Linked DNA regions of Oryzias latipes. The protein of the gene in region 1 interacts with the protein of each later gene in a pairwise test. Links are inferred from orthologs where the notes say so. Each region holds a gene or a part of one and is shown in the gene's direction. Other genes may lie near its edges.

Region 1 (16,196 bases):
TTTCTTTCTTTTTATTTATTTATTTTTTCCAATTATTACCCTTTAAGTTTCATTTTCATTCAGCAATATAGCATTAAGCACTGAATTTTTTCTGGGAAATGCAGCTCCTTCTGGTTTTAATACTTTTTTTTATCTACTCATGAGTTAAAAGGAACTTTGATCTGTTGAATTTTTTTTAAAACACATCAAATTATATGGAGAATTCTTATCTACAAACAAAGAAAGAAGGAATGCTCCTCAGCTTTTTAGATGTGCTACCTAAAAGCAGTTAAAATGACACAGATGTAGATTATTGATCCAAAGTGAGTTGCTGATGCTGACCCAGTCTGAAGCAGACTCTGCACAGGAGGCAGAGGAGCAGCAGCATCCAAAGCTGCTGAAGGCTTTGTTCAATGCTGCTGAGGCCGCAGGTCTGGGCCAGCTGCTGCCATACCTGCAGCCTGCTGGACAGGTCCATCCTGAAAGACAAAGACCAAACCATCACGAAGCTCTGCTGCAGACTGCAGACCTTCACCTGTCCTGTCTGTCAGCAGAGAGCACCTAAAAACCTCTGAGCTGCCCTATGAGCATCAACAACTTCTGCTAGTTCCACCACAGGCGCACGTGCAACCCGCTCTGACGTCAGCATCTCACGTGAACAGACAGCAGTTTGTTTGGTTTTTCATGAATGAAGTTGAGAGGAGAGAAGAAACGTGCAAACCTGAGCCGGAGGAGCAGAATCAACAGAGGAGCCGCTGCTTTCTTTTCCCTCGATCCTTTCTTCTTCTTCTCTGCTGGATCATCGACAGGCAACGCTGCCCCCACAGATGAAGACTAGTTATTGTTGTTCCACATTCCTCGGAGAACCTTAGAACCAGTCCACCTTTAAAAAAACAGAACTGACTGAGTCAATCGTACAGAGAAAGAAAAGCGGATTCTTTGCTCGAAATTCTAACCTAAAGCAAGACTTTAAACGGGGAAAACAACCTTTCCACGGTTCCTCGGATTTCTTTCCACTAACAGCAAAGTCACGTGACGCTTTAGTGCCGCCTTGTGTCCCAGCTGCAGTCCTACCCCCCCACACACAAGCATTTCTGTCCCAGGTAGACACCCACCCCCAATGAAAATTGTGTTTTAACATGTTTTTCTGGCATTTTTCTCATGATGGGGGACATGCATAAAGAAAAACAAGACCAAAACTGCGTTTCTGAGTTTTTCTTTATTCAAATTGTGTGAATCAGGTGAAAAAGAGCTGTTGGAAAAAGCTTGTAGTTGTTCCGTGAACTACAATCAGCAGGCCGCAGCTCTCTGCTCTGCTCAATTCTGATCATTCACCCGCAAATAGACAAATAGATCCTTTGTTTTCCTCGTCTGAGCTGGTATCTGGATCAGAACAGGACAGTACAGACTGAGAGCAGATAACCAGAGAGCTTTCAGCAATGGAGAGGGGAAGTATCGCCCACAAATCAGAGGTGAATTTCTAATAAACTCCTGCTACTCTGCACCAACTATGTCCTAGAAAAAAACTCTGATTTTTTGATTTGGGTTAAAACATCATAATCATAATTAAAAGACAACTGGGAACACTTTGACAATAGATCAAAAGATGATCGGACTTTAAGCTGACTTTAAACCAAATTACAAATGAAAAACAAAACCAGTTTAAACAGAAGAGTGACTTTAGAGGGATCAAAGATATAGCAGCTACAGTAATGGAATTTTATACACTGAGAAATAAATCAGTAACACAAACAATTGTGGCAATTAAGAGCTGAAACGTGGTGTTACCTGGTAAAGCATGAAGAGAACGTGAAAAAAAAGCTTGATAATCGCACAAAAAATAATTCAAAACCTCAAAAACAACCAAAAGAAGGAAACAAAACTCAATGAAAGACATGTCTGTTTTATGTCACAGCATCACAAAACTAAAATGTCATGCAGACAAAAGTTTTGTCAATAAATTGGTCAACTGTATTTGCTGTTGAAATCCAAATGAGTGTCATGTAAATTTTACCTTCCTGACCCAAGCAGCTCAGTGGAACCAGATAGGAAAACAATAATGATAATTTAAACTTTAGTCGATAGAGCAGAGATCAACCTATGTCACTAGTTCGCAACATAGGCTTTACCATTAAATCCAGGACTCCACTTAATTTAGTATCACCTTGAATGGAAAACACACAGAAGAATCATTTTAATATTCCGGAAATTAGAAAGAAGGCAGGCATGAAGGGGTCAAAGACACAAGCGGGTGAGAGGAGTTTCCTCCACAGCGTGGCTGTGGTTCTTTTAGGGTAAGTAGCTCGGCCATCCAGGAGCAGCCACTGCTCCTCCACATCCAGAGTTCAGGAGGGTCATTCATCTCTTTCAGATCCCTCCTGGAAAACTGCCTGGGAGGGTATTCCAGGGATGTCCAGCTGGAAGGACCATGCCTCTTGGCTAGTGTTGCCATCTCGTTTGGCATTCGCAGGTTCGGATGGTTCAGGAAGTCCAAAAACGAAATGTGCAGTTGGGAAATGAAAAGACACACAAGAGTCTGCATGAATTTTTGAACCTTCTTCAAAAGGGGAGACGTGCAGAAACACTACCTGTTAGGTTCTGTGGCTGTCCGCTCTCTCTGTCTCTCTGGCTTTTTCTATTATTCAGTAACGGGAAGATGAAAACATACAAAATACGTCATTAGACTGCTGTGTTTTTGTCTAGTCTGCATTCTAGGTGTCGTGGCTCCATAAACATTCCAATACAGAAAGAAAACAGAGTCAGAAAGTCAAAAACATGCACATGTTATCTGCTATGAGGACAGGAATCAAACATATTTCTGCAATACAATATTCATGCATATATAGAAACCATTAAATGCATAATAAAAAGAAGATAAGAAATAGAATGTAACCCCGGTACACCCCCACACTGTCCTGGGAGTCTCTACAAGCTGCCCTCAGGACCTCTTTGGATAAGCAGAAGATGGAATAGTGCAGTTATAGTTCAGGTTTAGGTCAGTGAAGAGCTTTTATAGTTTATTGGCTGTCAGTGATCTGAGGTGCATGTTGAGTCTTTGGCTAATTTGCTTGTTCATGAGTGGGTGGAAGTTGTTTCACAGTGTCACGATGAGTGTAGAGTTCTTTAGGATCAAATAAAGTTCTGCTGGAGTAAGACTGCGTACCTAATGTACAAAGGGCACAAAGATCGTCATTTATATTACGGCGGGATCCATCGACGGCTGATTGGATTGGAGGGAGTGCATTTGTGTCTCGAAGGAGCCAATCACCACCCGTCTTGTCATCTGGCTGAAGAACCAATGAGAGAAAGGCAGCAAACGCTCGTCCAATCAGCAGCCGATACTGCCAGCCTGGCCAAAAACCCCGCCTGCGCAGAAGACTTGCTTCTATTTTGGCGGTATTGCAAAAAACATGGCGGACAATTCGACAGGTAGTAGAAGTTAATACTCTAGTTTTTGTTGTTGTCGCGTGTCTCAGTGATGTCGTAGTGTATTCGAACGACTTCACCAAAGTCTGCTCTTCCATACTCAGGTTACCGGATGTGTTACTTGTGTTTTTGTAGTTATGACGGTGTTCTTCTGTCCAGCTCTTGTCCGTGCGCGAGCTCTTTATGGGTAACAGTGACGAAGAACATGTAATAAGAAGTGCGATCTAACATGTAGTTAAAGTTAATTTAGCAGCCACACAGAATTGACAGTTGATGGGTGCAGCGGTGGGCTGTGTGGTTCGAGATTCGTGATGGGCGCCACTGGTGGCTGCATGATGATCCATCCATCCATCCAGGCTTGATAAATAGTTTGTGCTGCTGCTAGATTTCCTTTTGCTTCCGCTGTTCTGTGACGATCCCAGCTCCACCGTTCTGCCTGGAAAACTGAACAAACACGGGGATTCTGGTTTAGGTTTGACTGTTCTGACGGTATCAAGTTGGAGGCTTCATCCTTAAATGCAGATCTGATCAGTCATTGAACAGGAAGACAAAGTGATGAGATGAAAATGAGAGCAGCTTGTGTCATTATTCTCTACTATTTCATGAAAATCACGAGTCATACATGTCTGCCTAATTAAACAACATGATCATGCTTACTGTATTTAGGTAAGCATGATGGTAAGCAGGCGAGTGCAGGCAGGTTGGAGCGGTTGGAGGAAAGTGTCAGGAGTGTTGTGTGACAGAAGAGTGCCAGCAAGACTCAAAGGAAAGGCGTACAAGACAGTGGTGAGACCAGCTTTGCTCTATGGGTTAGAGACGGTAGCAGTGAGACAGAGACAAGAGGCTGAGATGGAGGTAGCGGAGATGAAGATGTTGAGGTTCTCCTTAGGAGTGACCAGGTTAGACAGGATAAGGAACGAGTACATCAGAGGGACGGCTCACGTTGCCTGTGTTAGGGACAAAGTCAGAGAAGCCAGACTGAGATGGTTTGGACATGTTCAGAGGAGGGATAGTGGATATATTGGTAGAAGGATGTTGGAGATGGAGCTGCCTGGCAGGAGGGCAAGAGGACGGCCAAAGAGGAGATATCTGGATGTCTTAACAGAGGACATGAAGTTGGCTAATGTTAGGGTAGAAGACGTCCATGATAGAGTGAGGTGGAGGACGATGATTCGCTGTGGCGACCCCTGATGGGAAAAGCCGAAAGAGAAAGAAGAAGATCATGCTTACTGTATTTACTGTTGGAATAAAGGTAATTCAGTATTCAGGACTTGTTTTTAAAAGTAAGTCTTAATATTACACTAAAAGGGTTTCAGATGTGTTTCCAGAATACAGAAGCTGAATTAGTCATAAACATGTTCAGCAGACTGTTTGATTTCCTGCAGAGATAGTGTCATTACTGTAGGCCATCCAGACAACTGACAGCACTTCATAGCTGCTAAAGTCAAGGTGAAAGAGAAAAGGAGGAAGGACGACAGCTTAGTCACTAAAGGCTGAAGTTATCAGGGAATATTTCCACATAATGGAGTCTACTCTCATTAGAAACAGCAGGACTGAATGGAAACTGTAAGGTTTTATGTCTGTGAAGCTTCACAGACTTAGAGATGCCACAATTCTTGATCAAAAACTGAACCTGGTGTTACACCATTAAACTGAAGGGAGCAGGAAGTGACAGCTTGCAGCCCTACTGCCTGTTTACAGTAAAAATGTGAAACACGTGTGAAATTTAAGAAGGTTTTATTAGATTACACCAGGCTTAGTATAAGCCACCTGAAAGGCTTTTTCTTGATACTTACTTGCATGTTAGCAATTAAAAATTTTTGTTGTTGTTTTGTAATCTACAAATCAAACTGGAACAAAACCGGTATCTAAAAATCACATTTTGAACTGATTTGTGGGTAAAGTAAATCGTTGCATCCCTACTTGGGACATGTCATGTTATTGCATGAAAATCTAAGCACCTTCAGAAGTCCAGTCCTTCCTGAATACAGTATTCTGTGATCAACTGTAAGGCTATGGCAAGATTCACAAATGACTCTGGATTTACCAAGAATGGCCCAGTGCAAAACAGTTGAGCACAAAGCAGGCATGGTGGCTGTAGATTATGCATCTTTCAGCTCAAGTCTTTGATGACACACTTTTACACAGATCTTCTGACATGTGGTTCAGGAAAACAACGAGATTCCACGTGGATTTCTTTATTGTCTTCCTCTTGGTTTATTGGACCTGATGGCGAAAGTGGTACCTCTTCATTTTTTGAATGCCTGCGCTTCTTATCAACTTCAATCGCGCAGACAGAAGTTTGCATTTGTGTGTCCTCATCTGTCACAGACCCACAGTGATGCTCATCATCTTTGCAGTACTGCTGATGTTTTCAGAACTTGCCACAGACAGGAAATGTCACTCAGTTGTGGGATCTCTGTTTTGGAAATGTTTTCATATTTTGTTGCGGTTTTCTGTTTATTGAAAAATGTTTAATAGGTGCTGGAAGGTAGACAACACTATAGGAGTAAAATGTCAATAAAATGGCTGAGTTTTAAGCTTTTAGATCCTGTTTGATGATACTAAGGGAGATATATATGCAGCGGTAAAGTGATTTTAGTTTAAGAAAACAATATGGTCATTTTTAGCCATATTTAGTAATTATATCCATGGGTTATGAGATTTTTAAAAGGCAATCTCTAAAGGACCCAAACATGTAATGTAACTAGAAAATCCGATGACCCGTTTTCTTAAAAGGTTCATAGATAATATTACTGAACAAAATCTGTTCTTTTATTGTAAACAGTTGTAGAGACTTTATACTGGCGTGTTCTGTGCATCATGTCAGATAGTTAATATGCTGTTTGACATCACATGTTAAGGAACGCTGTCCAGCATTTTTACACTGCTTTTAGAAGAAGAAAGGTTTTTGTTTTTGTTCATTTCTGCGGTCAGAAATGGTTTGACCGCAGCTAACGAAGAGAACTTTCTTTTAGGAGTGGATTTTTTCATACTGAAAACATGTGGTTTGATGTGACTGTGTGTCAGGATGCAGCGTGCCTTGTAAGATGACGTATGGCGAGCTGGAAGCCTTGTGTCGCACTGAGACCCTGCACTGCAAAGAGCTCGGAGTGAGCAGAGCGAATGTCAACGAGTATGAGGTGGAGTTTCTCTGCAACTACAAGAAGACTAAGGTATGTCATTACCACTTTAAGGTTGAAGAATTTGTTTGGGTCATGAAATAACTGAAGAAAAATGGGTCTGTCTTCTGATCCCGCTGCTATAGTCTGGCGACCTGTTTAGGGTTTACCCATCGACTGTATACGAGAACTGGACCGAGCGGCTGTGACGTCACTCATAGGAGATGCCTTACCTCTGGCTCCAGGAAAATGAAACCAATTCAGTCCCCATTTTTCCGTGATACAGACCCGCCATGTTGGAGCCAGACAACAGTGATGGGTCGGATTCGGTCTGAGTCAACGTTTCTATGGCAACTACTGTCACCAATCCAGACCACACCCCTTCCACTGAAAGCGGCTCTGGGGAATCTGTCAATCAAAAAAAAGCCATATGCGTTTAATGTGGCATCTGATTGATCAGTTCATAACTTGCATAAAAATGTGGAAAAAAGGAATTATCAAAAAGACAAAAAAAAGGGTATAAGATTAGGAATGGTTTTTATGACCAATAGAATGATTGAGTAACGGCTGTTTATTTCTCTATATAAGTCTATGGGATTTTGGCTTTTGAAGGCAGCAGGTATTTCCTGTTTGGAACACTCAAAAGCTGAACACTCAAAAACAGTGACCTCTTTGGCTCACTCAGTCCAGTTCTCATATACAGCCAATCGGTTTATCCCACCTTCACTTAACTGTAGCTGGGATAGGCTCCAGCAGCCCTGTGGCTATGAAAGGGATTCAGTGGGACCAGAAGATGGGCCTATTCATGGATTGTAACATTACTGCTAACCCTTAACCTGCATATTCGAAAAATAATTACCACCCTGTTGTAGGCTCAGTGTAATTTCTGCAGAAAACTTTGGGTTAGGCTTTAAATTATATTCATCAGTGCTTACCCTAAGGGTACTTTTAACAAGAAACTACTGGTTACTTATCCTTTTGTACTTTTTTAAACATTCTTTCAACTACCGGAACTATTCAACCGTTTATTCCTGAGATGTAGAAGAGCATCTTTGCGATGTTACGGACCACACTGGGGAGAAGCCGCTTTTCTCCATGTCAATATCGGCAGATTCATGCTGATTGCGTCGATGGTCAAAGGGTTATGGTAGTTCAAGGTGTGTGTGTGTTATTTAGGCTCTGGCGGCAACACCTCTGTTGTTGAATGGTTAAAAACAGAAATGGAAAACATGACAATTTGCTCGATTGTAAAATAAACGGCTTTAAAATGTAGTTCAACAGGGAAAAACTATAGAATTTTACTCTTATATAATAAGCATCAGAATTTAGAAATGCTGTGAGTCAAAGCTGCTGTCTTTTAGGAGGAAGAGGAGTTCTACTTGGTGAAGTGGAAGGGCTTCCCTGAGTCTGACAACACCTGGGAACCCAAGAGGAACCTCAAATGCTCAAAGCTGATAAAGCAGTTCCACCTGGACCTGGACCTGGTGCTCAAGAGTCAAAAGAGGCGTGCCATACCCAAAAAGTTAGATAAAGAGGTCGCCTTGTTCCTCATTCAGAAAGCCAAACTCCGTCAGAGTCTCCAGCGCTGGCAGGACCATCTGAATGACACTCGCAACCACCCCGGTCGCATTTTTGTCACAAATGATGTGGACCTAGAGGGCCCTCCAAAGAACTTCACCTACATTAACAACTACAAAGTCGGCCCTGGCATTGTGTTGAATGAGATGGCTGTAGGTTGTGACTGTAAAAACTGCCTGGAAGATCCAGTGAACGGCTGTTGTCCAGGAGCCTCCCTGCACCGCATGGCCTACAACGATCGCGGCCAGGTCCGGATCAGGCCAGGAAAGCCCATTTATGAATGTAACTCCCGGTGCAGCTGCGGACCTGACTGTCCCAACAGAGTGGTCCAGAAGGGCATTCAGTTTGACCTGTGCATCTTTAAGACCGAGGACGGCCGGGGATGGGGCGTGCGCACGCTGCAGGGCATCAAGAAGAACACCTTTGTTATGGAGTATGTTGGAGAGGTGAGACATGTTTTTTACTCATTTTTGTTTCTGCCTTCAAAACAAAAAAAAAGGCTTAAAACCTTCAGAAACACGGTCCTATTGGATCTGGATTTGATCATTTACCAGTTAGTTTAATTCTGAATTCAAATAGTAATCGGTTTTACAATCAACCGTTTTTTATTGCAGTTTATGCTAAATGGTGTAGACTTATATTGCGCTTTTCTACCGTCCTCGAGGGCCCAAAGTTCTTTACAGTCACAGTCCCGTTCACCCAGTCACACACACATTCACACACGGATGGCGGCTCTGCTGCCGAGCACTGGCGCCAGCCTTCCACCAAAGGGAAGGTGGGGTTCAGTGTCTTGATCAAGGACACTTGGAGTCGAACCTGCAATCTTCTGATTGGGGTTGACCGCCCCACCACTGCACCACTGCACCACGGCAGCCGGTTGCATAATTCAGCAATTTTGATAAAAAATACTTTTAAAATATAAAAACAGCACTTTCAGCCCAGATTCTTTTGAATCAAGTGTTGAATTTAAATGTAATCAGCTTATATTTACATGAAGTTCACTCCTTACTTTAACCATCCTGAAAAGGAAAAACAAACTTTGATATCTGGGATATTTAATGTTGACCGGCGGTTAATTTGTACCTTTATTTTGAAAGTCTCTGGGCTTGTCTGTGTCCCCCTAGGCTCTGACAAAGATGACAAAGGCCGTTAAATGTTTTTTCTGCAGAATGAATGATTCAGCTTTCTGGAAGCTTTGAAAAAACTGGACTAACTTCTAACTTGATCTCATGTGCTCAGAAACTGCTCATAGACAAAAATGGAGGTAAAACCTGAAGTCAGCACAACCTAGAGGAAATAAGACTCAGCTGTAAAGATAAAAAATATGCAATTTCATCACATGGTTAGCCGCATTTACCTGTGAATGAAAATACTTTGAATAAAAAAGGAAAGATACACTAGCACGACAGCTGTTTCACATTTCCTCTGTTGCTGTGAGCCTGTACAGAACTGAGAAGGAGCTTGGATGCAACAAATAGACTTTATTAATGACATTTTATTTACACTTTTGCAAAGACCCACTTCAATGAAAACCCTGTTGTTAGCATGTTCTTGTAGCATTTTTCTGATGAGGGAGGACATATAGAAAAAAAGTTCAGAACAAAACTGCATTTCTGATTATTTCTTTATTCAAATCGTGATGGATGAGGAGCAGAGGAAAAAACGCCGTTAGAAAAAGCTCTCAGTTCCAACCTAGAAGCTACAATGGATGAGCCAAAGTCTCCCAGCTCCAGTCCATTCTGATCATCCACTGTCAGACAAATAGATCCATGAACGTCTTTGTATTCCTCGTCTGAACTGGTAGCTTATGAAAACCGAACATTGGATAGAAACATTAAAAAATAATACCATAAATCCTTGAAAAACAAAGACGAGCAAACCGCTGCACAGTAAACTATCAATAGCAGAAAGTATCGTATACTGTGCAGTCAAGTCTGCGCAGTCGTCAAGTCTGCGCAGTCGTCAAGTCTGCGTCGTGAAGGGAGCAACTCCCTCTCAGGATGTAGAACATGACAGGGGGGCTGGAGGGTCCTGTGGGCTTCTTTTCTGCTGTTTGCTGTTAGCACAAAGTGACAACTGTTCTGATCAGCTGCGCAATGATTTGTGGGTAGATTTATGTATACAGTAATCTGAAAACATAGCTTCAGTTTTCGTTTTCCTAAAACCAAAATACTGGAAACAACTTTGCTCTGGAATGTTCATTATGGAGAAACTTCAACTGTGAGAGTCAGAATAAACGATTTGTGAATGGATTTGATTTCGAGTGTTCTATTTGCCCCCTACAGATAATTACAACAGATGAAGCAGAGAAGAGGGGCCATTTATACGACCGCCAGGGCTCCACCTACCTGTTTGACCTCGACTATGTAGAAGATGTGTACACAGTGGATGCTGCTCACCAAGGAAATATCTCCCACTTTGTCAACCACAGTGTGAGTGTCTGCAGTCACCTGATCCCCACAGGTTATCAAGACACAACCTTCAGAGTAGCTAAAGTAGTAATCGGTAGTAATCGATTGTGGGGCAGAAAATGAAGGTGGATCTAGAAGCAACTGAAAAGTTTTACCTAGTGTTTATCAAGTATATACATTCTTCTTTACTTGTTGGATGTTGGACTGTCAGTAGGAACAGCGATCAGCTCTGATTTGATAAATGTTGTCTTTTCAGTGTAACCCTAACCTGCAGGTCTTCAATGTGTTCATTGACAACATTGATGAGAGGCTCCCCAGAATCGCTCTGTTCTCAACGCGATCTATCCGGGCAGGGGAGGAGCTTACCTTCGACTACAAGATGCAAAGTGAGTTCATGATGACTGCTCTGCACTGTTAATGCTCCTTTATTATGCCTTATGCTATGTTCGAATTCCCTCCCTAACCCCTTTAAATATAGTGCACTATAAAGTGCGTTTGCCATTTTTTAGTGCTACATTAATCTATAATTCCCAGATCCAGTGCCCTAGAAATTTCCCAGAAGTCTCTGCAAAAAACCAGTGTGCATCAATGCTCACTAGATCGGCGAATATAGACCACAATGCATTGCGTTGGAAAGATTTTTGCCTCAAAAATGTATTTAAATGTATTTTTTTAACAAACCATCAAAGTTTTTATCTTCAGAAGACAGTGGATTCATAAATAATTGTCGATGACGTCATATATGCCGTTTAGAGAAAAAAAAAAGTAAAGTAGTTAGTTATAGGGGTTAGGGCGGGAATTCAGACACAAGCTTAGTCAGCCTCAAAACATCAATCTTTAAAGAGTGTAACCCACTTTACCCAGAGTTCACTGCAATGGGCTTCGGCAAAGCCTGCAAGCCTTATGGATGGATGGATGAACAGATGGATGGATGGATGGATGATGGAAGGATAGGTGGAGGACCAGATTGATGGATGGACGGATGGATGGATGAACAGATGGATGGATGGATGGAGGACCAGATTGATGGATGGACGGATGGACGGATGAACAGATGGATGGATGATGGAAGGATGGATGGATGAACAGATGGATGGACGGATGGATGGATGAACAGATTGATGGATGAACAGATGGACGGATGGATGAACAGATGGATGGACGGATGGATGGATGAACAGATGGATGGACGGATGAACAGATGGATGGACGGATGGACGGATGAACAGATGGATGGACGGATGGATGGATGGATGGAGGACCAGATTGATGGATGGACGGATGGATGGATGAACAGATGGACGGATGGATGAACAGATGGATGGACGGATGGACGGATGAACAGATGGATGGATGATGGATGGATGGAGGACCAGATTGATGGATGGATGATGGATGGTTGAACAGATGGATGGATGGATGGATGGATGGATGGATGAACAGATGGACGGATGGATGAACAGATGGATGGACGGATGGATGGATGAACAGATGGATGGATGATGGAAGGATGGATGGAGGACCAGATTGATGGATGGACGGATGGATGGATGAACAGATGGACGGATGGATGAACAGATGGATGGACGGATGAACAGATGGATGGATGATGGATGGATGGATGGAGGACCAGATGGATGGATGGATGGATGGATGGATGAACAGATGGATGGATGGATGAAAAGATGGATGGATGAACAGATTGATGAAGCTAACCTCGTCCAGACTAGGATTTTATCATGTCAAACTATACAAACCACATGAACTTGCCGAGAAGTATGTTTTCCTTTTTGCATTTATTGAGGATGGTCATCTGCAGTTTTTTAAATTGACCACGCTCCGCCTTTTATCCAAGAGACTTTCTTAACGAAACCTTTAAGAGAACTGGTATTCCTCCTGAGGGGGGGAGTTTTTCCCAAAAATATTTTCTGCTGTTTCCTTTTGGTCCAAAAACTACAGTTCTCTATCATTCAGTCCATGCAGCACACAGGGATATGATCAGCAGGGACTGACATGTCTAACACAACATGTGTTTCAGTGTTCTCTCACTCTACAGCAGGGGTGTCAAACTCCATCGCCCAGGGGGCCAAAATCTAAAACATGAACAAGATAAACCTTTGTAAAAAAGTGTGTAGTTTTTGTTTTGAAGTACATATCGATACTTTTTAATCATAAAAAACCTCGCTGTGCTCCATGCAGAGTTTAATAGAAGGCTGAGAGACTCCACGGGACAGCGGTAGGGCGGTCGACCCATGATCATAAGATTGCAGGTTCGATTCCCGCTTTGTACGCTCATGAGTCAAAGTGTCCATGGGCAAGACACTGAACCCCACCTTGCCTGTGGTGAAAGATTGGTGCCAGTGTTGGGCAGTGGAGCCCCCACCAGTGTGTGAATGTGTGTAAATGGGGGAATGGGACTGTGACTGTAAAGCACTTTGGGCCTTGAAGAAGGTAGAAAAGCGCTATATTAGTAGACGTCATTTACCATCCTTCTTCTGCACCTTTTAGTCATTTGTGTGTATGCACTTTTACAACAAAGCTCTCAAGTCCATCAAGAAATGACAGCCATTGGCTGTGAAACTAAAGAGATGCAGATGCTGTGTTTGACTGGGGCTGTCCTTTTCTGATACTTCCAGTTGATCCAGTGGACACAGAGAGCACCAAAATGGACTCCAGTTTCAGCCTGGCTGGGCTCCCCGGCTCGCCAAAGAAGAGGGTCCGGGTTGAGTGTCGGTGTGGCTCCGAACTCTGTCGGAAGTACCTCTTCTGACTGCAGGAATTCTGTGTTGATATGCTGGAAACTGTACAGATTCCTTTCATGAATTTTTATATGCGACCGTGAGAAAGTGTCAAGATTTTAAACATGTTTTTTTATAAGCAAGAAGAAAAAGAATCAGCATTTTCCATGACTCAGAGGTGCTGAGTCAGAGCCTCACTTCACTCATTCTGACATTTACACTGTGTGACGACACCCAGAGAACCTGCCAGATGGAACATTCGCCGGAATCAAACCTCAACTTCTCTATGAATTCTTGCTGTTGATCGAGGTCATGTCAGTTTTTCTCTCTCCATCATTGTGTGAATGTCACGCCTGATGTCCCGGGGTGTGTCCTCATGGGTCCTGAAGGCCAAATATTTCAACTTTGAATCCTAACTCTTTGTCAGCCGATTACCAAAGCAGCTGTCTGTGGTCCGCATGAGGCCTCTGGAGTCTGGATGATCAAGTGGCAAAACGATTCTTTCTAACTGCTGTTCTGCAGCCTCCTGGCTGTTCTTTAGTCCATGTTTCTGTTTCAACTGGGGGATTTGGGGATTTGATGGTAAAGTCACATTTGAATAAAACCTGAGTCTGAAAGCAACAGAAGCCAGACTGAAAGGAGCCTGTTCTTCTGATGCCTTGACAAACAAAGCAGTCTTCCTGTCAGGAATTTAGATTCAAACAGCACTTCAAACTGGAGAACGCCCTGTCTAGATCCCTATGGAGACCCAATCCATCTAATGCAGGGTGTCTCAGTTTCACTTTCTTTTTCTTCAGCTTTTCCCTGCTGTCTGTCTCCTGTCATTGAGTTGACCGTTGTGCTCTTATAAGGACAGACGGACGCAAACCTGTGAAAACAGTGTGGACGGGAGCTACCTTTTCACTTAGATTCATTTGGCTTCAGGTTAGTTCCCTTTAGAAGATCTGATATTTTTGGAACAAGAACAACTAAATTACAAGCTGTTTATAGTTTTGAAGTGTTTTATTTTGTAATGTTGATGGTTGAAAACAAACTAAACAGGGCTGTTGACTTCTCTGAGTATTACCTCATGAACTCGTCTTGCTTTTAGAATGTTAGTTTAAGTGTCGTAGTCGATGAGGTTCTACAGTGCACTGGCGAGAATGTGTTCAAAAGGCCGAAGTGGTCATTTGGATTTTGTCGTTATTGCGGTTCATTCCTCAAAAAACAGTTCTTCATGTGTGTAAATGATGAAAGTGAACCAAACCAAAAGTTTTTGTGTTCATTGCTTTAGTTTGCTCCGTTTGGATACTCAATAATGAGCTATTCTGTTATTTGTTGTTTACTGCCTCCCCTTTTATCTGTACTGAGTTCTGTGAGCGTAGTCCGCTCCACCATGTTAGACTTTTGGCACTCTTTCTGCCAATGGAACATAGACGCCATAAAACCCGTTGCTGTTTTTGTAGTTTCTATATACTCATGCACACACACTCACACACACACACACACACACACACACACACACACACACACACCCACACCTACGGGCACATCAAGGGGCAGTTTAGATTCTATGAAGCATGTTTCTGGACTGGAGTTCCTGGAGAACACCCCCACATGCACGAGGAGAACATGAACACTCCACAGGGAGAAAAAAACCCAGCTAGGGATTGAACCAGCACCTTTTCTATGTGAGGTGGCAGTGCTGACCGCTACACCTCTGCACCATTTGCTTCATAAAAACTGAAGGAGGCCACACAGAAGCAGAAAAGCAGCTTCTGCACCGTCCTGTTCCTGCAGTGAGAAGACAACCAGCTGACGCCTGTGCTGTTCAATCACAAGGAAAACGTCTACATGGATAGCATTTATCTGCTTCATTAAAGGGAAAATAATCCTTTTTTTCCTACAGAGTTCATATAGATGTCTGAAATGTTTAGTTGAACATCAGAGTTAGTAAGTGCCCAGAACAGAAACTCATAATTTTTAAGTATGTCCTTTTTTTTAAGGTTTGAAGAAATAAACAATAAATTCCTCATTACTCTCTCAGTCTGGTACATCCATAGTAAAGACTTTTGTGTTCTTCCAATGTGTGTAGGAGCAGAAGCTCTTTGAGGGTTTTGGAAACAACAGAGGAATAAAACACAAGAGACACAAGGAATTATGGGAAAGAGTAGAGGAAGCTAGACTGACGTCAAAAGGTGAAAATCTTTTGAGCAAAAGTTCGGTTTCGTGCAGAGACGGAGAGCCGCAGATGAAATATTTGCTTTGAGGGTGTTTCTGGAGAAGAACAGAGAAGGTCAGAAGGATCTGCATCAGGTCTTTGTAGATGTAGAGAAAGTCCAGGACAGGATCCAGAGAGAGGAGCTGTTTGGATGAGGAAGTGTGGAGCAGCAGAGAAGAACGTTGGAGTTTTTCAGGAACATCCCCAGAGGTGGACGTTTGTTCTGGAAAGGAGAAGAATGAAGGTCAGCTGCAGCAAGACAGAGTATCTGTGTGTAAATGAGAGGAACTGCAGAGGAACGGTGACGTCACAGGGAGCAGAGGTGGAGAAGGTGGAGGACTTTGAGGTTTTAGAGTCAGCAGTTCAGATCAACAATGTGTGGTAAAGAGGTGTCTGCAAGCAGGTTGGAATGAGTTGAGGAAGGTTTCAGGTTTTGATGTGTCACTAAAGAGCGTCATCCAGAATGAAAGGAAAGGTGAAGAAGACTGTGGTGAGAGCAGCCATGTTGTTGGTTTAGAAACTCTGATACAGAGACACGAGGAGCTGGAGGCAGCAGAGATGAAGATGCTGAGGGACGGATCAGGAATGAATCCATCAGAGGAACAGATCATGTAGATGTTCTGGATATAAATGCAGGAAGCAGATGGAGATGTTTGAGATGAGGGACAGTGATGAAGATGATAAAAGGATGCTGAGGCTCTCTTTGGGACCGGGATGGAAGCAACATTAGGAAGATTCACAA
Region 2 (16,705 bases), about 18 Mb from region 1:
AAGCAGCTACCTTTTTCTCAGAGGAAAGACATTTTTTGTGGTGTGTGCCAGACTGTTGGTTTGTGGTTTGTAATGTGGGCAAAGGGGAAATTTGGAGGTTGGAGTGCAAGCTTAAGGATACAATAGTGTAAAAAAAAAAAAGAAAAAAAGATGGTGTGGGTGCTTTACAGGAAGGTTGCGTTTGTCTGCACAGAGCCATCCCATTTATGCTGGTGGCTGCAGAGAAGCCTAACAGGGAGAGACAGAGTTGAATAGGACTCAGAGCAAGAGGCCCTGAGCCTTGTACCCTCCTGTACTATGTTTGAACGGCTCTAACATTTTTACCTTGTATTTTTTCAAACCAAAAGGATCCTGCTGAACACCTGATTTTATTTTTAATTTTTACCTATCAACTGTTGAAGATGCGGAGATTCTTGCTCAGGTACGTTCTTCTCTATTAGTACTTTTGTGTTGACATTGCATACTTCTTCGGAAGACTGGTGACTGATGATGCTTTTAATAAGTTCCAGCACAAAAAACACACAGAGTTTCAGAAATGTTAAGCTAGAATTAAACCCTAATAACACATGAATAAATACATAAAAAAGCATGGTTTTGAATACATTTGATATGAAATAAATATAACTTATAACAACATACTCACCCAGTTTAAAAGGCGTACTCTTCAAAGTACATTTCAAGTATTTTGTAAAAGTATGTACTTCGTTTTGCCTGTACAAAAAATCTTTTTTAATAGTTTTAACAATTAATTTCAACACAATTTTATTGCAAATTGTGCTGATTAAACAATTCTTTTTTAAACATATGTTTAACAGAAAGTTTTAAAAATTGCCTTAAGCAATTCTAGAGCATACAAAATTTGAGGTTTTTTGAAAAAATATTTAATTGTCTACAAATATTAAAAAAAATGTATTCAGGGTCAGTGAAGCAGGTGTATGCGTGTTCTGATGCACAACTGCAGCCTTGCATGGCACTTTAATTTAGTTTTGAAACAAACATCTTTTATATTGCCAAGGTTATAAATAGGCAGCAGACGGCATGCATAATAGTCAGTATACTAGTGTGAGTGCACACTCACACATAATTACATTATTTGCCGATAAATGGGTTTTGAGACTCAAAAATAAAATAAAATTTCAACAAGAAGTGCACAATTTAACGTTTTGTGTCTGACTTTTTCCAAAGAACCTAAAACTTACGGACAACTAATGAACCAAAATTTCCCAAAGCGGTCATAAGTCCCCACTCTGTTCTTTCAGAGGACTCTGTTTTCCCCCAGATTGTCTTATCAGGGCTTGGCATAACTGCAGCCTGGAACAGCTGATGGGAGGAGTCATCTTAACTGAACTGATCCTTTTATGAGTTCCAAAAGAACTCCCAAACACCCAAAAAGTCACTAATGTAGCACCGGAAAATCAAGAGCTATGAAAGAGATTTGTATATGTGGAGAAAAGCTGTGAGTTACAGACTGACAGACATTGAAATTGTTTGTTAGATTTGTGTACTTTATGCAGAATAGTGAGTTATAGTTACAAGTTGTTCTGTTTCTCCAGGTTGATTGTTTGCTGCAGACTTCTCTGAATGTGTTCAACGGTCAATTATATTCTCCCTCTGAGGAGAAACTGTGACGTGAGTCTGCTTTGAAAACGGAAAAAAAAGATGCTCAACAGAATCCAGTCAAAAAATATAATAACAGTTGTTTTCTATTTTTACATTCACACAGGTAGTGGCTACTTCTGGCAGGCTATGTGGGGGGTTGTCCATTTCAGCTAATTTCCCTGGAGATAGGCCCAATGGACAGCCGCAGGACGCCGAAATGGATGTTGCTTGGCAGGAGTTGATGGCAATAACAGAGCTGCAGGTAACAATGATAGATAGACTGGGAGACCTCTGTTTTGATAAAATGTAAAACTATTTAATTTTTCATCATAAAACATTAGACTGCATAAGATTTTAAAAGGATTTCTATGTTGTTCAGATCACATGCAACAACAAAAAGTCACAAGTTAAATCCTATTGAAAAGATGCATAATTCTGTTCACATATTTAGAGCTGTAAAGGCAAGGCTGTACTTTTTGTTTCAATCCTTTTTTGTGTGTTTACGATAAAATTGATGACATAAAAAACTTCTGAAGGGATAATAAAACAAGACAGAGAACTTTGAACAGTGAATTGCTTATGGAATCTTTTTAGTGATTAAGTTGTATTCCACTTCAGAGATGGTTACAAACTGCTGATTTAGCACAAAACTAGATGTTCCCTTGTTAATATGAGGCAAAACATGTGTCAATGAGCACAAACCGCAGAGCTGAGGCAAAAAATGAAAAGACGCGTTGGTTGAAAGAGAAATTGACACTCAAATATTTATGGTAGCAAATAAAAACTGCCTTGTTTTTACGTTGTTGTACTCTGTCTATTTTAATGGCTTCTTCTAAGCTACACTAGAGTAAAGCAAGTCACAATAGTGTATTTGAGTGATGGCAGGATGAAGAAAATGTGAGAAGGGACATACTGGAAGTTGCTTCTGGCCCCCTGCGCTGCACAATAGCCATCTGTTAAAAAGTGAAACCAGATCACGTCTTTGGAAAACCTCTGTAAGCTGTGGGTGGCAGACTAAAAGAAGGGCAAATTCTGCTTAGTGATAAACCAAATGACGTGTGGGGAGAGAATATAATATCTTCTGCTTTTAACATATATCAATAAAATCAATAGCTATTTTAATTGTCCGCACTGTGGTTTTTCTCCATTATTCTTACCTGGATGTGTTTGTTGCAGGAGTTCGAAGTACCAACTGATGCCTCCTATGAAGCAACTCAGTACCAGACTACTGACCCCACAGGAGAATATGGCATGGCTCAGTCTCACTCTGAACCCCCTCCTGCAACTTGTGAGCTGAGCACTGCCAGGACGTATGCTGGATGTTACTCTGAAGAAGTGTCTCACTGCCATCCTCTGGGCGGCAGGGCAACATATGAAAACTCTCAGACTAGTCAGCGAATGATCTCCATGCCCGCTCAAACTCTGCCGTCTCCTGGAAACATGTTGGGGACAAGTCATGGACACAGGAGAACTAATGCCCGTCTTTCTCCGGGTTCAAGTCGACACATGCTTTGGACAGCACATGGCCAAAACATGCATGGCCGCATGGCTGATGGTCTGGAGTCAGAGGCTGGTCTTTCTTTGGGATCAAGTCCACCTTTGACATCTCCACTAAATCCAGTGGGTGCTGCACAAGGTTACCATAATGTAGAAATAAATGTGCCTTACAGTGATGTTAACTCAGGCAACATTAATGATCATACCAGGAGAGCACATATCAGTTATTCAATGGACTACCAAGGTCCAAATCACTCATATTTTGACTCAGGTGTAAATCCGTATTTTTCTTCTCAAAATTCCTCTCACTCCCAGCCATGTGCCACAACTCATTCAGCGAGACAGCAGCACAACACAGTTGCTTCATGTGAACGGTATAATGAATTAACCAGCAGGGGGAGCTCTCAGCATAAGTACTCAAAGCCACACACGGGCCTTTCCAGTTCTGCTCCACTTAGCAGGGATGAGCGGAGGGCCATGGCTTTGAAAATTCCCTTCCCTTTGGATAAAATTATCAATCTACAAGTGGATGATTTCAACGAGCTGCTGACTCAGTATACTCTGACCGACACTCAACTTGCACTGGTCAGAGACATCAGACGGAGGGGAAAGAACAAGGTGGCAGCTCAGAACTGCAGGAAGAGGAAGCTGGAGAGCATCATTCATCTGGAAAGAGAACTGAACCAGCTGCAGGTGCAAAGAGAACACCTCACACAGGAAAGGCTAGAGTTCCAGCGCAGCCTGGGCTTTGTCAAGTGCCGTCTGAGAGACCTTTATGCAGAAGTGTTTTCTCACTTGCGAGACGAAGATGGACAACCTTACTCAATAGATGAGTATTCTCTCCAGCAAACACCCGATGGGAAAATTTATTTGGTACCTCATACGATGGAAGCAAGAGATCAGTGCTGAATATAAGGACTCGTCTGTGCTTTGGAAGTGTTTTTACTTTTCGTGCCAATCTCAGTTTGTGGTTAAACTAAGTTTACGGTGACACACAAGACCAATGTTTATAATAAAAAACACACAAAGTGTTGATAAAATATTTTATTTAAAAAAAGAATAAAAAAGTAAAAATCAAACTGCACAGCAGTTTTAAGCACTGTAAAAAAAAATTTAAAAAGAATACTTCAGCGTTAGCACGACAGTTCAGCTAACCTGTGGAAGAAAATAATCTTTGTTCAATAAATATTGCCACAAACCAACCAGCAGATTCACTTTCTTGTACCTGGGCCATTCTCACAGAAATGATGTTTTTGTAGTGCTGGATACCGCTGGAAATCACCTGAAATGCAAAACAAAATAAAAGTATAAGGCATTGCTCAAAGGTAACCTGTATTGACTGCATGCAAATTACAGTGGACCTCTTTGCACTGCAAGAGATCAATTTTTGATCAAGTGGTATTTTTTTTAGCCATGTCATTACTGGGCTACAAAACTCACTACCAGCTTAAAAGGCAAAAAGAGAAAACACCATCAGTAGTTGAAAGTCTGGTCTTACCTACAGACAGCATTTAAGCCTTTTGGTAGCTGCTGCCTGCTAGCCTCAGGCTTCTGCTCTCACTCTCCCCTGCTTCAATGATCCTGGCGATGGCTTTGCTACTTCTCTCCCTTAGCTTGCTTCCATGGCTAGCCTCATAGACTTTGCATGTAAGCTAGCCTCCTCGAGATGATCTTTGCAGAATTCGAAGTTGTCTGAGCCAAGTCACGGCCTTTTTGAAGATAACATTTGCGCACCACTGGGAAATTGCCTTTTCCAGAGCTTGACAAAAAGTGGCCCTTTTCCCCGTTTAAGTGTCAACCCTCCCTTCACCCAGACCACTAAAGAGGCTAACGAGACTTTATAAAAAACTGAAAGGTGGTTTATTTCAGATTGAGTTGATGCAGTTACAAATAAAAACCAGACTTAAAGATAAACATAAAACCCTCATTGGAATGCTTGCTTTCCAAAAAAAACACATATGATGAAAGAAAAACAGAAGACAAATTTTAAATGAAGGCCCTCCATGATTTATCTACTGTACATCTCTTCTTGTAGCAGCTGTAACCTGCCACAACTGTTTGGCTGAGCAGATTTAGGAGGTAAACCTGCAGCTGCCCTGTCACTTCGCTTGCTCTCCTCTCCTTGCTCTCCTCTCCTAAGTACTCAGTCCTGTTGAACAATATGGAACAACATTGTTAACTGTGCACTGTCTTCATAAGTCCTGACATCCAGAGTGAATTCGTTTAAAGTTAGCTACACTTAATCATTCCCTAAAATGATAAACTCTGGTTTTACGACATGTAACAGCAAGTTTATGTCTACAGAAGCTTACCCCTTAGAAACTTAAAATCGTCCAGGACGGCCATAGCCACCGCCATTGTTTGATCCACCGCCATATCCACCTGGAAGACAGAAAAACAATCAACACACAAGGTGAGGGTTAAAATACTTCTGTGTTGGTGTGTTTTCACCAAATCCAAATACCCACCGAAGTTTCTGCCTCCTCCTCCACCACCACCACCAAAGTTGTTCTTCATTGGACCAAAGTTGGAAGCCTGCGGGTCATAGTGACCCATGTTGTTGTAGTTATTGCCACTGCCACAGTTTCCTTGAAAATGGTAGATAAAAATGATTAGTGACAACCTCATCCTAAAAAAGGGGGGGGTGGAGGGACGGGGTTGTTGTTGCTCACCATAACCATTGCTATCATAACCATTTCCACCATATCCTCCACCACCTTGGTTGTAGCCCTGGTTGTACCCACGGTTGCCACTGTTATAGCCCCCAGGACCACCGGGCCCACCTCCATAACCTGCATCAAACAACCTTAAGTCTTCAGATGTTCGTAAATTAAAAATAAAAAAACAATTTATCTAGTATGCTGCACTTACCGCCATCGCCTCCGTTGCCGTTGTAAGGACCATCTCCATATCTGCCCCGTCCACCTTAAAATAAGAAGAAAACCCAAAACTTGTTATGGCTGTCTTACAGACCCAATGATTTAAAAAAAAAATACTACAACCCACATTACCTTGGTTAAAGCCTCTGTCGTAGTCATAGGGTCTTCCACTCCCACTGCTGCGGCCACCTCTCATTCCCATTCCAGCAGTCTGCATTTCCTGTTTGGTCAGGGCTTTCCTCACCTCACAGTTGTGGGAATTGATTGTGTGGTATTTCTGGACTATGAATAAAAAGGCATGTTTCAATTTTTATGAAAATCTTACAGGGCTTTCCCATTCTAGATCAGATACCACTAGTACTCACTGACAATCCTGTCAACAGAATCGTGATCGTCGAAGGTGACAAAGGCAAAGCCCCTCTTCTTTCCAGTGTTCCGATCAGTCATGATATCAATGACTTCAATTTTGCCAAACTGTTGGAAGTAATCCCTCAGGTGGGACTCTTCTGTGTCTTCTTTGATCCCTCCAACAAAGATCTTTTTCACTGTAATATGAGCGCCTGGACGATTTGAATCCTGCACACCAAAACATTTGTTATACTTTGAACAAGAAATCAGATTTACGTCTAGTCATATAATATACCTCTCTAGAAACTGCTCGTTTGGGTTCCACCACCCGTCCGTCAACCTTGTGTGGACGGGCGGACATGGCTGCATCAACTTCTTGGACAGAGGAGTAGGTCACAAAGCCAAAACCCCGGGATCTCTTGCTGTTTGGATCCCTCATCACCTAAAAATGAAATACTTTAAAGCCAATTCAATTTGGATGATAGCAATCACATCTTGTGAAAATGACTCACAACACAGTCTGTCAGGGTACCCCATTGCTCAAAGTGAGCTCTGAGGCTCTCGTCTGTTGTCTCAAAGCTCAGGCCTCCAATGAAGAGCTTGCGAAGCTGCTCTGGCTCACGTGGGACCTAAACAATAGATGAAGACGTCAACAAGAGGTTGCCGCAAGTTCAAACACTATGAGTTAAAAACACATTTTTGAAAACGAAAGTCCACTCATTGACTTTCGTCTCTATTTCCAGAACATATCCAGCGTCAAAAACAACAACAGCAGGAGGGTTGGGTGGTGCAGACATCGCCGCCATTAGCGATCAACGATTGCAGATTGTTCGACTTTTTGCAAAAATATGTTCGCCTAAGGTTGTTAATATTGCGGTTAATCGAAATAACGATAACCAGTGACTCATATTAATATCATTCGATTCATTTCGTTTACCTGTAACCAACAATAGGCCACGAGGCCCAGTTGTTACAAAATGGCGGCATAAGGAAAAGAAAGCTTCTGCAGCGAAGACGGGCTGTTTCGACCGAGACAACGTGCCCAAATCTAAACCATTGAAGCCATTTGACGAAACTGGACCAGCTAAATAATTTGAATCGTTCAGAATACAAAGACTTACATCTTTCGACATCTTGCTGTATTTTGTCGGAAACTCCTAGTGACACAACAACCACGCAGCGATCTGCGCCAGACAAGATCAGGCAGCAGTCAAACGCTAGGATAAAATGGGGAAAGGAACGCCCCCTTTTTACACAGTCATTGGTCAGTTGTTCCCGCTGTAGTATTTCCTCAGAGAAAGGTGAGTTTTGATTGGCTTACGTCCTATCAATCATTCAATTAATCCAATCCCCGAGCAGGATAATGCAGTGTGTAAAAACGGAGGAGGAATGGGAGAAAACAGGATGCTTTCGCAGACATAGTGACATTTTATCTGAATAAAAATGAAATGATAGATTGGGGCCAATAAACCGCATCAATTTGGATCACCATCATAACATTAAACTAGATTAGTTTTGAATGGTCGTACAGCTACTTTTTTTATCTAAACAAAATAAAAAGTATAAAGAAAGAATTACACAAATTTTAAAGGACACAACACACACTTTTGTTATTACATTTTTAGCTATTTAATTAATAGTTTGGAGCTTTGTTTATATGTAAGGCATTATGTTTCTTTGTCAGCGTACATTAAACGTCTAATAACAAAACATATAATTTTACACATTACTATTACAGTAAGTAAATACCATGGATTGAGACCCTTGCTGCTAACCTGCCTGGTTTCTTGGTTATCAGCTGACCGGGAGGCGGGTTCATTCATTGTGTGCTTTTAACGCGCGCTTTTTCCGCTCAGCACCTTTATGTGATTTAAGCTACATGCTAACGTAGCTCCGGTAGACTGGTAGACTGATAGCTGCTGCACAAAAGACGCAAGATAACGCTGCAAAAAACGCACTAAAACTGACGGCCCGATCATCCTAAAGTAATCGCACTGTTAATTTATCGATATTGTGTTTTTACTTTAAATAACGATTCGTGATTTGAACTGTAAAAGTGGCAAGTTAGCTTGGGGTTCGCTTACATGCTATCTTGTCTAGCTTCTAGTACCGTTAGCAGAGCTCAGTTCGTCGTGCCCCATGCTTGTTTTGTTTTCTTACCTGTTGTAATCTTAGGGCTATCTTCGTTAAAAGAACAAGTGTTATGTGAAATACTTGCAGATGTGATTTTTATTCGTATAATAATTTAGTTGCTGTTATGCTCGAGTGTGTTATGCACGACAATTTCTGTGTTAGCGTCGATCAAATGCTAACGCGTATATTATCATATCTTCTTTTCTGATTCAAAGTATATCCTTTTTTTAATTATCTATTTACGTCTGATCTGTGCGTATTAACGCATCTGGAAATACTGTGCCAAGATGATCGGTTGTTATTTAAACTTTGGCTTCTCTTCTTTTGGATCAAGGAAGTGCTAACGGCCTGTGTGTGTGACAGCGTGCTATAAATACCAAACTTTGCAATGGGCAAGAAGTCTCGCGAAGAGAAATCCTCATCGTCTGACGAAGAAGAATATGTCGTGGAAAAGGTGCTGGACAGGAGAGTCGTGAAAGGCAGAGTTGAATTCTTCCTAAAGTGGAAAGGATACTCAGAGTAAGTAAAAAACAAAAAACGCCAATCTGTTAGCAATTCTATTGTAATTGCAATAATACAATATTACTTAAACCGCATAAAGACGTGCAATGTAATGTTAAGGGTTATGTAGCTGTGTGCACCGCGGTTTTAATGTTTTTATTTTGGGTGTGTTTTCTCTTTGTTTGTTACTATTGTGATTATGCAACTGTCTTGAGTTACTTGGATGGTTTTCCTTTACAGGAAGCACAACACCTGGGAGCCGGAGAAGAACTTGGATTGCCCTGAGCTTATTGCAGAATTCATGAAAACCTACAAAAAACCAGGCAGTGGGAGTGCCACACCTAGCACTGGTTCCAGCAAAGTCAACACAGGATCATCGGGTCGCTCCAAAGAATCCGGGAGCTTAAAGAAAAAAGGTTCAGATGATGAGGAGGAGGAAGACGAAGAGGGTGGAAGTAAACCTAAAAAGAAGAAAGAGGTGAGATTTATGTATATGCAATGTTTGGATTCACTGTTTTCTAGGCTGTCAAGATAAATGAGGAAAAATGAGTTTTTGTTGTTTTTCCCCTTTATAATAAAGTTTAGTTTGTTTGTTAGGATGTTACTGTACTTTATGCAAGGTTCTTAGAATTTATCTATTTTATTTTTTCCAGATCTACATTTAAATAACGAAATGTTAATAAGCAAGGGAGAGATATTTACAACAGTACATGTCAATTCTTTATCTTTCGTTTCCCTAGTTTCTTTTAGACCAGGGATGTCAAACTTGATGGCACAGGATGGGCAAAAATCCAAAACCCACTTTAGGTCGCTGACAATAACACTGTACTTTATAAACTTTTAAAACTTCTTTTCAACATAAATATGACAAATATATTTCTTTTAACAGTAAATGTTAAAAGAAAAAAAAACATTCAGTTTTCTTTACTATTGAATGACTTTATAAAAAACTTACATTTTGCTCATCTGTGAGACATCATCTGCGTGCTGTTTTATTAGTCTTCATCACTGAGAAGAGCTTCTCACACAGAAAGGTGCTACCAAACACGCACAAGGGTGAAACTGCTTTTCTGCAGGAATGGCGTTCATAACCTGTGCAGGTCCTGCAGTGTCGTACTTTGCCTTCAGTGTGCTTTCACTCTGCAGCTCACTCTGCTCCATCTGAATCTGTACAGGGGCAGTTTCAACATAGACGGCAAATGGTTTGTGAAGCAACTCAAAAATTCATTTTTGTTATTCATAATCACCAAAGGGCCGGTCGAACTTGATGCGCTCAGTTTATCAGCAAAGTACGGATTTGATGTTTTGCCTCATAGTGCTGTCTAAAGATTAAATTCCTTGAATACAGCCACATTAGCTCCACAAATGAGACGCATAAATTTATCAACAATGTCAGTAAACATATTCTGCCTCCCATCAGTTTGAAAAGCCCATTTCCAGGATTAACTTTTCACTTTTGCACCGACAGAGGGCCAGCTTCACTATCACTTGCAGCATCATAAACTAGACTTCATTGACGTGGGAAGTGTTCGGCAAGGCAGCTGAAGCGCTGCATTGTGGGATCTGTAGTTGAATTTTACCAGCGCTTCATATCGCCATGCCGTAATTACCAATAATATAAAACGATCATGCTAACCGAATATAATTGCATGCCGGGCTGCATGCGGCCCGTGGCCTTTAAGTTTGAAACACACGTTTTAGACATATAATTATTTATTTTTAGAAGATACAATTGTTGATATGTGCCAGTACACTTCACCATTGAGAAATCCACATGTCTTGATCTCGCATCCTGTTTTTGTGGCGTCCTGAAAATTACAAAAGGTCAATAAGTCAGGCGATCAACTAGTTGATGTGCATGTCAACATGCTCAATCTGTCTGTATGTGTTCAGTGCTTTACTTCTGTCATTTTGCACCTTGTACAAATAATCAGCCTTTTCAGCACAATTCTACATACAATCCAATAAAAGTAATATTTGGGGGGCTAAAAGAAACTAAAATCAATTAGACATGGATTAAAAAATTGTTTATAATACATAAACCAATAAGACATATTGAAAATGATTACCGCAAAAACAAGCAAAGTATTAATCTGTTTATACACAGAAGGAATTTCAATAAAATATCTGACGGCATTTGTCCAGTAGAGCAGTAAAGTGTAAATATGAGGTTAAAGCACAGAATCAAAAGACAAAAACAAACAGTTTTAAACATTTCCTCAGGTTTGAACTTTTTTTCTTTGTTTCTTACAGGAGGAAATTCTAGTAGCCCGTGGCTTTGAAAGAGGACTTGAGCCAGAGAAAATCATTGGAGCCACTGATTCATGCGGAGACTTAATGTTCCTCATGAAATGGTAAGTTTTGTTGTTGGGATGATGATGATTATGATGATCTGGTGTGAAATTGCTGCTCCGCTAGGTGCAATCACCACAGACTGTTTTACTGTTGACTGCAACATGGAAGGGAATGACTCTTAAAAAAAAAAGGCTTTTGACTGTGTCGGTTAACTGGGCAAATCACCCATTAGAAACTTCAGTAACCGGGCTGTCTGTCCATAGATGAACAGGAAGCCAAACCATAAAATTAATGTTATCTCTTATTACCTAGATGGATATACGCAGTGCACCATCACTCATGCCTGGTTCTGGACTCATATTTGAGTTGCAGACTTGATACTTTTACTTTGAATAAATTTACAAATCCATAAAAATAATCATGAATTTAGAATTGTTCTCATTTGCTATGATTTATAGAAAATTCTCTGTGATCAGTTTTAATCCTAGAGCGAAAGAACAAATAAAAACACCTGTGATGAAGTCTGACTATACCTTTGTTGCACCAGATGAAAAGTTTGTCTTGCCAACTTACCCATTTTATTTGGTTTTATGATAGAACACTTGATGCTGTCTCAATACATGGTTAAATTGCAGTGTAAATGAACCTCTTAGAAATATAACAGTGAAATGCCATTTCACAGAGACTAGGATAGAGTGCAACCGCCTACAGCTTGTTTATGAAATCCCACAATGCCTTATTTGGACTTAAGTTAGTGAAGTGTGGTGCAAAAATATTTCAAGCTTTACCCTCTTTTAGGAAAGATTCAGACGAGGCGGATCTTGTTCTTGCCAAGGAGGCCAATCATAAGTGTCCACAAATCGTCATAGCCTTCTACGAGGAGCGCCTCACCTGGCACGAAGACGGTGACAAGAAGGAGAAGGATGCTGTCAGTGCTTGAGTGCAACACCTCTGGAGGAAACCTCCACTGCAGGGAAAACATTCTGTTGGACTTTTTGTTTTCCTTCTCCCAAACTTCCATCCCTCACTTTGTCCAACAGTGAAACAAAAACAGTGCATCCCTTTTGTTGTTTTCTCCACTCATGCCTCATTGAGCACAAGGGCCCAGACTCTGTAAAGGATCCATCAAATAGAAAGCTGTTTGTTAGTGGACCTGGGTGATATGCTACTGGGCAATGTTTCTACTGTTTTTGTATTGATTTTTTTTTTTTTTGTAATATCTTAACATTTTTGTCTTTATCTTTTCCCTGTTTTTTAAAGTGCTTGCATAAAAATGTTACTAGGAAGAAATCTGGAGAAACTATTACTGGTGGCCATCTGTTAAAGTTGCAAATCCAGACCCAAGTACCAGATTTGACGGTTTAGGGGGGAATTCCCGATCCCCATCATTGTGTTGTAAACAGTGCACATCTTTTCTTTGACAGGAAAATGTTGAAGCTATTCACTTATCTTTCTTTTTTTACCCCTTTAGGCAGCAGATATCACACCTGATTCATTTTTAAACGTGTTTAATAATCGTTTTCCCCACTGTTTCTATTTTTTTTTTTTTTTTTAATATTTGTAACCGGTAATTTTTAACAGGGCCACTCTCACCAAACGCTCAAACATGTGCGATCATTTGATCATGACGTCTACTCTGCCATCAATTCTCTTTGTTGTAGTTTAATATTTTTGTTTCAGATTAAGGTAAGAAAAAAATCCTAAATATTTGTCCCAATGAGTAGATGTTGATCTGATGTTCAGGATTCCATTGATCATTCATCTTCCTGAAGCATTCATCTGTTTCATGTTTTGACATCCATCACCATAACATGCTTCAAAAGGGACATGATCACCTTCATGAAATTTAAATGTAAAAACTATGATAATTGTGAAAGCTGAATTAATGACATGGCAGCTGGATTGGCCTGCAGTTGAGAAGACTGGTGCACCTGTTTAGTCATGTAGGTGCACGTCTGTGTAGTGATGTATATTGGTTTTAATTTGTGCTGTTTCGTCAAATGATTGTTTTGCGGTTTTTTTCTTTCTGTTTTTTTTGACAGTGTTGCCAGAAGAAGAAAAAATACAATAAAGACATTTTTTTCTCCATTCTGTACTTTTAATCATATCCCAATCATTGTTTGAATGATTTTTTTTTTTTTTACTTTTAATTTGCATGAATTGTGTGATCTTGCGCCCTTTCAAAATAAAATTCAGCTAGCATTCAAAGGAGAAACTTAGCTGCCACTTTGATAACTGAAATTAATACTGTGGTCAACAATAAAGACTAGATTTATTTATTTGCATTTCTTTTTCCATGCTCCCCCTGCTAAAAAGCTTCAGTAGTTTTAATGAATTACAAAAAATATTGTTTGAATAGCTCCTTATCACCTGTTCATTAGTTTGAATTTTAAGGTGACTAACCCTGATAAATACATGGTTTGTTGTTGAAGATTGAAACTGGTTTTGCAGCCTGCAGAGAAGCATTGGACCAAATGTCTGCAGATTCACAGACTGCTTGTTTTTAACTGATAAGAAATGCTGTCATCTTCCTTTTGATACTACCCATACATTTCCTTGCCAGCACATTTTTTAATGTAAATATGGGTTTTATTTACCTTTTGACAATATACATTTTTTAAAGTCAGTAGTTTATTGTGTGAGAGAAATGTTCCAAGTATACATGTATAGTAGCATCCTTTAATAAACATTTTGAGTGTTTCAAGGTCTTCATGTGTTCACTTCGTTTTACAGTATAAATTACATTTTTCATAACATTACCCTGCAAACTGACAAAAATATATATATATACTTTATAGATTTAATGCAATTTTAGAATCACACATCAAAAACCTATTTACTGCCGTTTGTCAGCAGAGGGCAGTATTAACCAATTCCAACGCAAAAGTGTTTTTTTTTTTCTTCAGGTTCCAGTAGAATCATTGTGTGCAAAATGTGTACAATTTTTCTGTGAAACTTTTTATGGGCACATTTTGTGTTCTGACATTCACATGTTGCATGCAAACACGGCGCACACCCTGTAAAACATGTACAACTTAACACTGAAAGGCAGCCTTTCTTCTAAGGCGGCAAAGGAATCAGTGAGGAAACATGTCAAATTGGACAGCTAAGGTTTTGCCATTGATTTAATGCACATTATAGAAATAGTACAAAATCCACTTTAGATTTTTAAAATTAGAAAATGGCAATCCTTAATGACTAACTTCCCCGTAAAGTGAATTCCAGTCATGTTTAAAATAATAATAAAAATGCTCTTAAAATAATATGTTTTGAGTCTTTTTTTGTCTTTGATTTTTTTCGCTTTGGTGGTGCCTTTTAGACCCTCTGCTTGACACACATACACACACACATCTGCAAAGTGCTGCTGGGTTACGTTGAAAATGATGGAATTTTCCTCACAAAAGAGCTTTTACTCTGCAAATGGAATGCAAAGGTCAGTAGTAAATATCCAGCCCCTGGGACCATTAAGCTGGGTGAAAGGAGGGGAGCAGCGAGCTGTTGTATCCAGCCTGGAGCTCTCCACTGACAAACGCAGGCCAGTGGGTTTGGATGGGAAACCACTGCGGTGCTCATTGGAGCTCAGCCAAAGCCATGTGTGGCAAGCACAGATGTAGACTCATTCCTGGTATGTTATCTGTGGGAATACAGAGCGAAGCATCACTGGGGTTAAAGCTCTGAAGAAAATGTGGTTTGTGCAGATAGAGAGGAATGTGCTGTACCTGGGAAGAATCAACTGGGAGCAGTTGGTGGCACGTTTACCTGGGAGGTGTTGGCTTTTCAGAACAGAGTCGATTCATTGCATTGCGGTTTCACTGGTTATTTTCTTAGACACTTGTGTTGGAAATAGTTGTCTCAGTGGTGATTATGTGTTGCTGTAAATGTATTTAGTTATTTGCAACAATCAAAAGTCAGAAAAGAAAATTCCCCTTTACCTGTACCTTCTTGTACAAATTAGTTCCTTGGGGTATTACGCACAGCAGAGGTGGGTCTTTATGCTGCACATTACACCTAATGAGCGTTGGGGGAGCCACTGTGCAGCTTGGGTGAGAAAGGGACTGCCGCAGAGGGTCTACTAAAAAATATAGCTTGTTCAAGGATACCACAAAAACAACAAATATGTGCAACGGGTTATGCAAACTCTTACACCCGTTAATTTTGTTCAGAGTCTTTTTGGAAGTCTTGAGTATCACAGTGAGGTGGAATCTGGTGTTGCATTCTTTGCTGTGATCATGTGAGCACAGCTGCCCGACAGCTGCATCTCTCTTTTTTCTTGTTGCAATCGGATAAAAATGTCTGCAGTGACGTTCGGCCTGTCATCTCCCAGCACAGAGCACTGATCTGTGTGAAGGTGATTGCAGCGTGAAGCTCTAATTTGTGCAGCTATCACACTAAATGAGCAGTAAAGCTCCACAGACAAACCTTCTGGGTTCCAATACCCCCCCCCCCCCCTACTTATGTGCTGCAGCTCCCACCACCAACCTTCTGCTGGCTGTGTTTCCCCTTCGATACCCCCCACCACCTCCACACTCCTTCCTTCATCTCCTCTCCCCACCAGGGGGGGAAGAGTTATAGCTGCCATAAAAGGCAGGTAATGCATTGTTAACTAATTCTGTCTGCTCAGAGCTGATATATCCTCTGCTCTAAATCTCTGTTCTTCCAATAAAATGCAAATGCAAATGCTTGCCCTCCACAAGCTGATTTCATTTTTTAACAGGCCAGATGTAAATGCTAGAAAGGTGAGGGGTTGGGCCACTGATGCACCGGGACACAGTCGGGATTTGAGTTTTCCTGGTACACCGTGTCATAAAAAGAGACTTCAGGACCGACACAACACTCCACTAACAGTGAAACATAGTGCATGAGAGAGAGCACGTGCAACTGCAGCAGTACACGTCTGCAACATTTGGACTGCGTGGGTGTGGCCAGAAATCAGAGCTGCTCGTTTTCAAAGTCCCTACTCATTCACCCTCACATAAACCAATTTGCCCACAGATGTAATGCATCATATTTCCATGTTAATTTTGGTGTCACACTTCACGTAACCTTGGGCATCTAAATATTGATCCACCTCTACATTTTCAATTATCCTGCACCATGTTTCTGCCATTTAGTGAGGACCAATGATTTGTGTTCTTTCATATGTGGAGGCTTGTCTTGTAATTAGACCATAAATTAATTTGCAGAGCGAGGGAGAGTTTAAAAAAATACAACCGAAGGCATTAACTGAGTCTGCAATGATCAGAGACAGAAAATCATAGAATACCACAACACAGCGTTTCATTTAGCAGGAGAGGATAACAGGATTACAAATGACCTTTTTTCTTAAAAAGATGCCACTTAACTTCCTTTGAACTATTTAAAACCATGCAGCTAATGATCTTTTATGTCGCTTCATCAATACATGACTAAAAATTACCCATTGGCATAATTATACCCAACTGCTTGCAGCCCAA

Evidence for each region.
Region 2: the proteins of suv39h1 (region 1) and cbx5 interact in binary tests that used the Homo sapiens proteins (3 or more experiments, as listed by UniProt). The link is inferred for Oryzias latipes from reciprocal best matches to the Homo sapiens genes SUV39H1 and CBX5.

What each region holds. Positions count from the first base shown.
Region 1 is NC_019865.2:30,909,706-30,925,901, reverse strand, and holds suv39h1 (histone-lysine N-methyltransferase SUV39H1), read left to right. Parts: upstream 1-3,306; 5' UTR 3,307-3,389; coding exon 3,390-3,408; intron 3,409-3,451; exon of another isoform or gene 3,452-3,509; intron 3,510-6,435; coding exon 6,436-6,581; intron 6,582-7,888; coding exon 7,889-8,551; intron 8,552-10,390; coding exon 10,391-10,537; intron 10,538-10,772; coding exon 10,773-10,902; intron 10,903-13,152; coding exon 13,153-13,286; 3' UTR 13,287-14,567; downstream 14,568-16,196. Other genes in the region: protein-serine O-palmitoleoyltransferase porcupine, read right to left, coding at 322-457. UniProt on the Homo sapiens protein: Histone methyltransferase that specifically trimethylates 'Lys-9' of histone H3 using monomethylated H3 'Lys-9' as substrate. Also weakly methylates histone H1 (in vitro).
Region 2 is NC_019865.2:12,829,286-12,845,990, reverse strand, and holds cbx5 (chromobox protein homolog 5), read left to right. Parts: upstream 1-7,746; 5' UTR 7,747-8,308; intron 8,309-8,790; 5' UTR 8,791-8,844; coding exon 8,845-8,975; intron 8,976-9,197; coding exon 9,198-9,435; intron 9,436-11,210; coding exon 11,211-11,311; intron 11,312-12,050; coding exon 12,051-12,192; 3' UTR 12,193-13,960; downstream 13,961-16,705. Other genes in the region: nfe2 (transcription factor NF-E2 45 kDa subunit), read left to right, coding at 1,582-1,629, 1,724-1,861, 2,776-4,005; heterogeneous nuclear ribonucleoprotein A1, read right to left, coding at 5,420-5,478, 5,565-5,684, 5,769-5,888, 5,968-6,021, 6,108-6,257, 6,341-6,551, 6,619-6,765, 6,836-6,952 and 1 more. UniProt on the Homo sapiens protein: Component of heterochromatin that recognizes and binds histone H3 tails methylated at 'Lys-9' (H3K9me), leading to epigenetic repression. In contrast, it is excluded from chromatin when 'Tyr-41' of histone H3 is phosphorylated (H3Y41ph).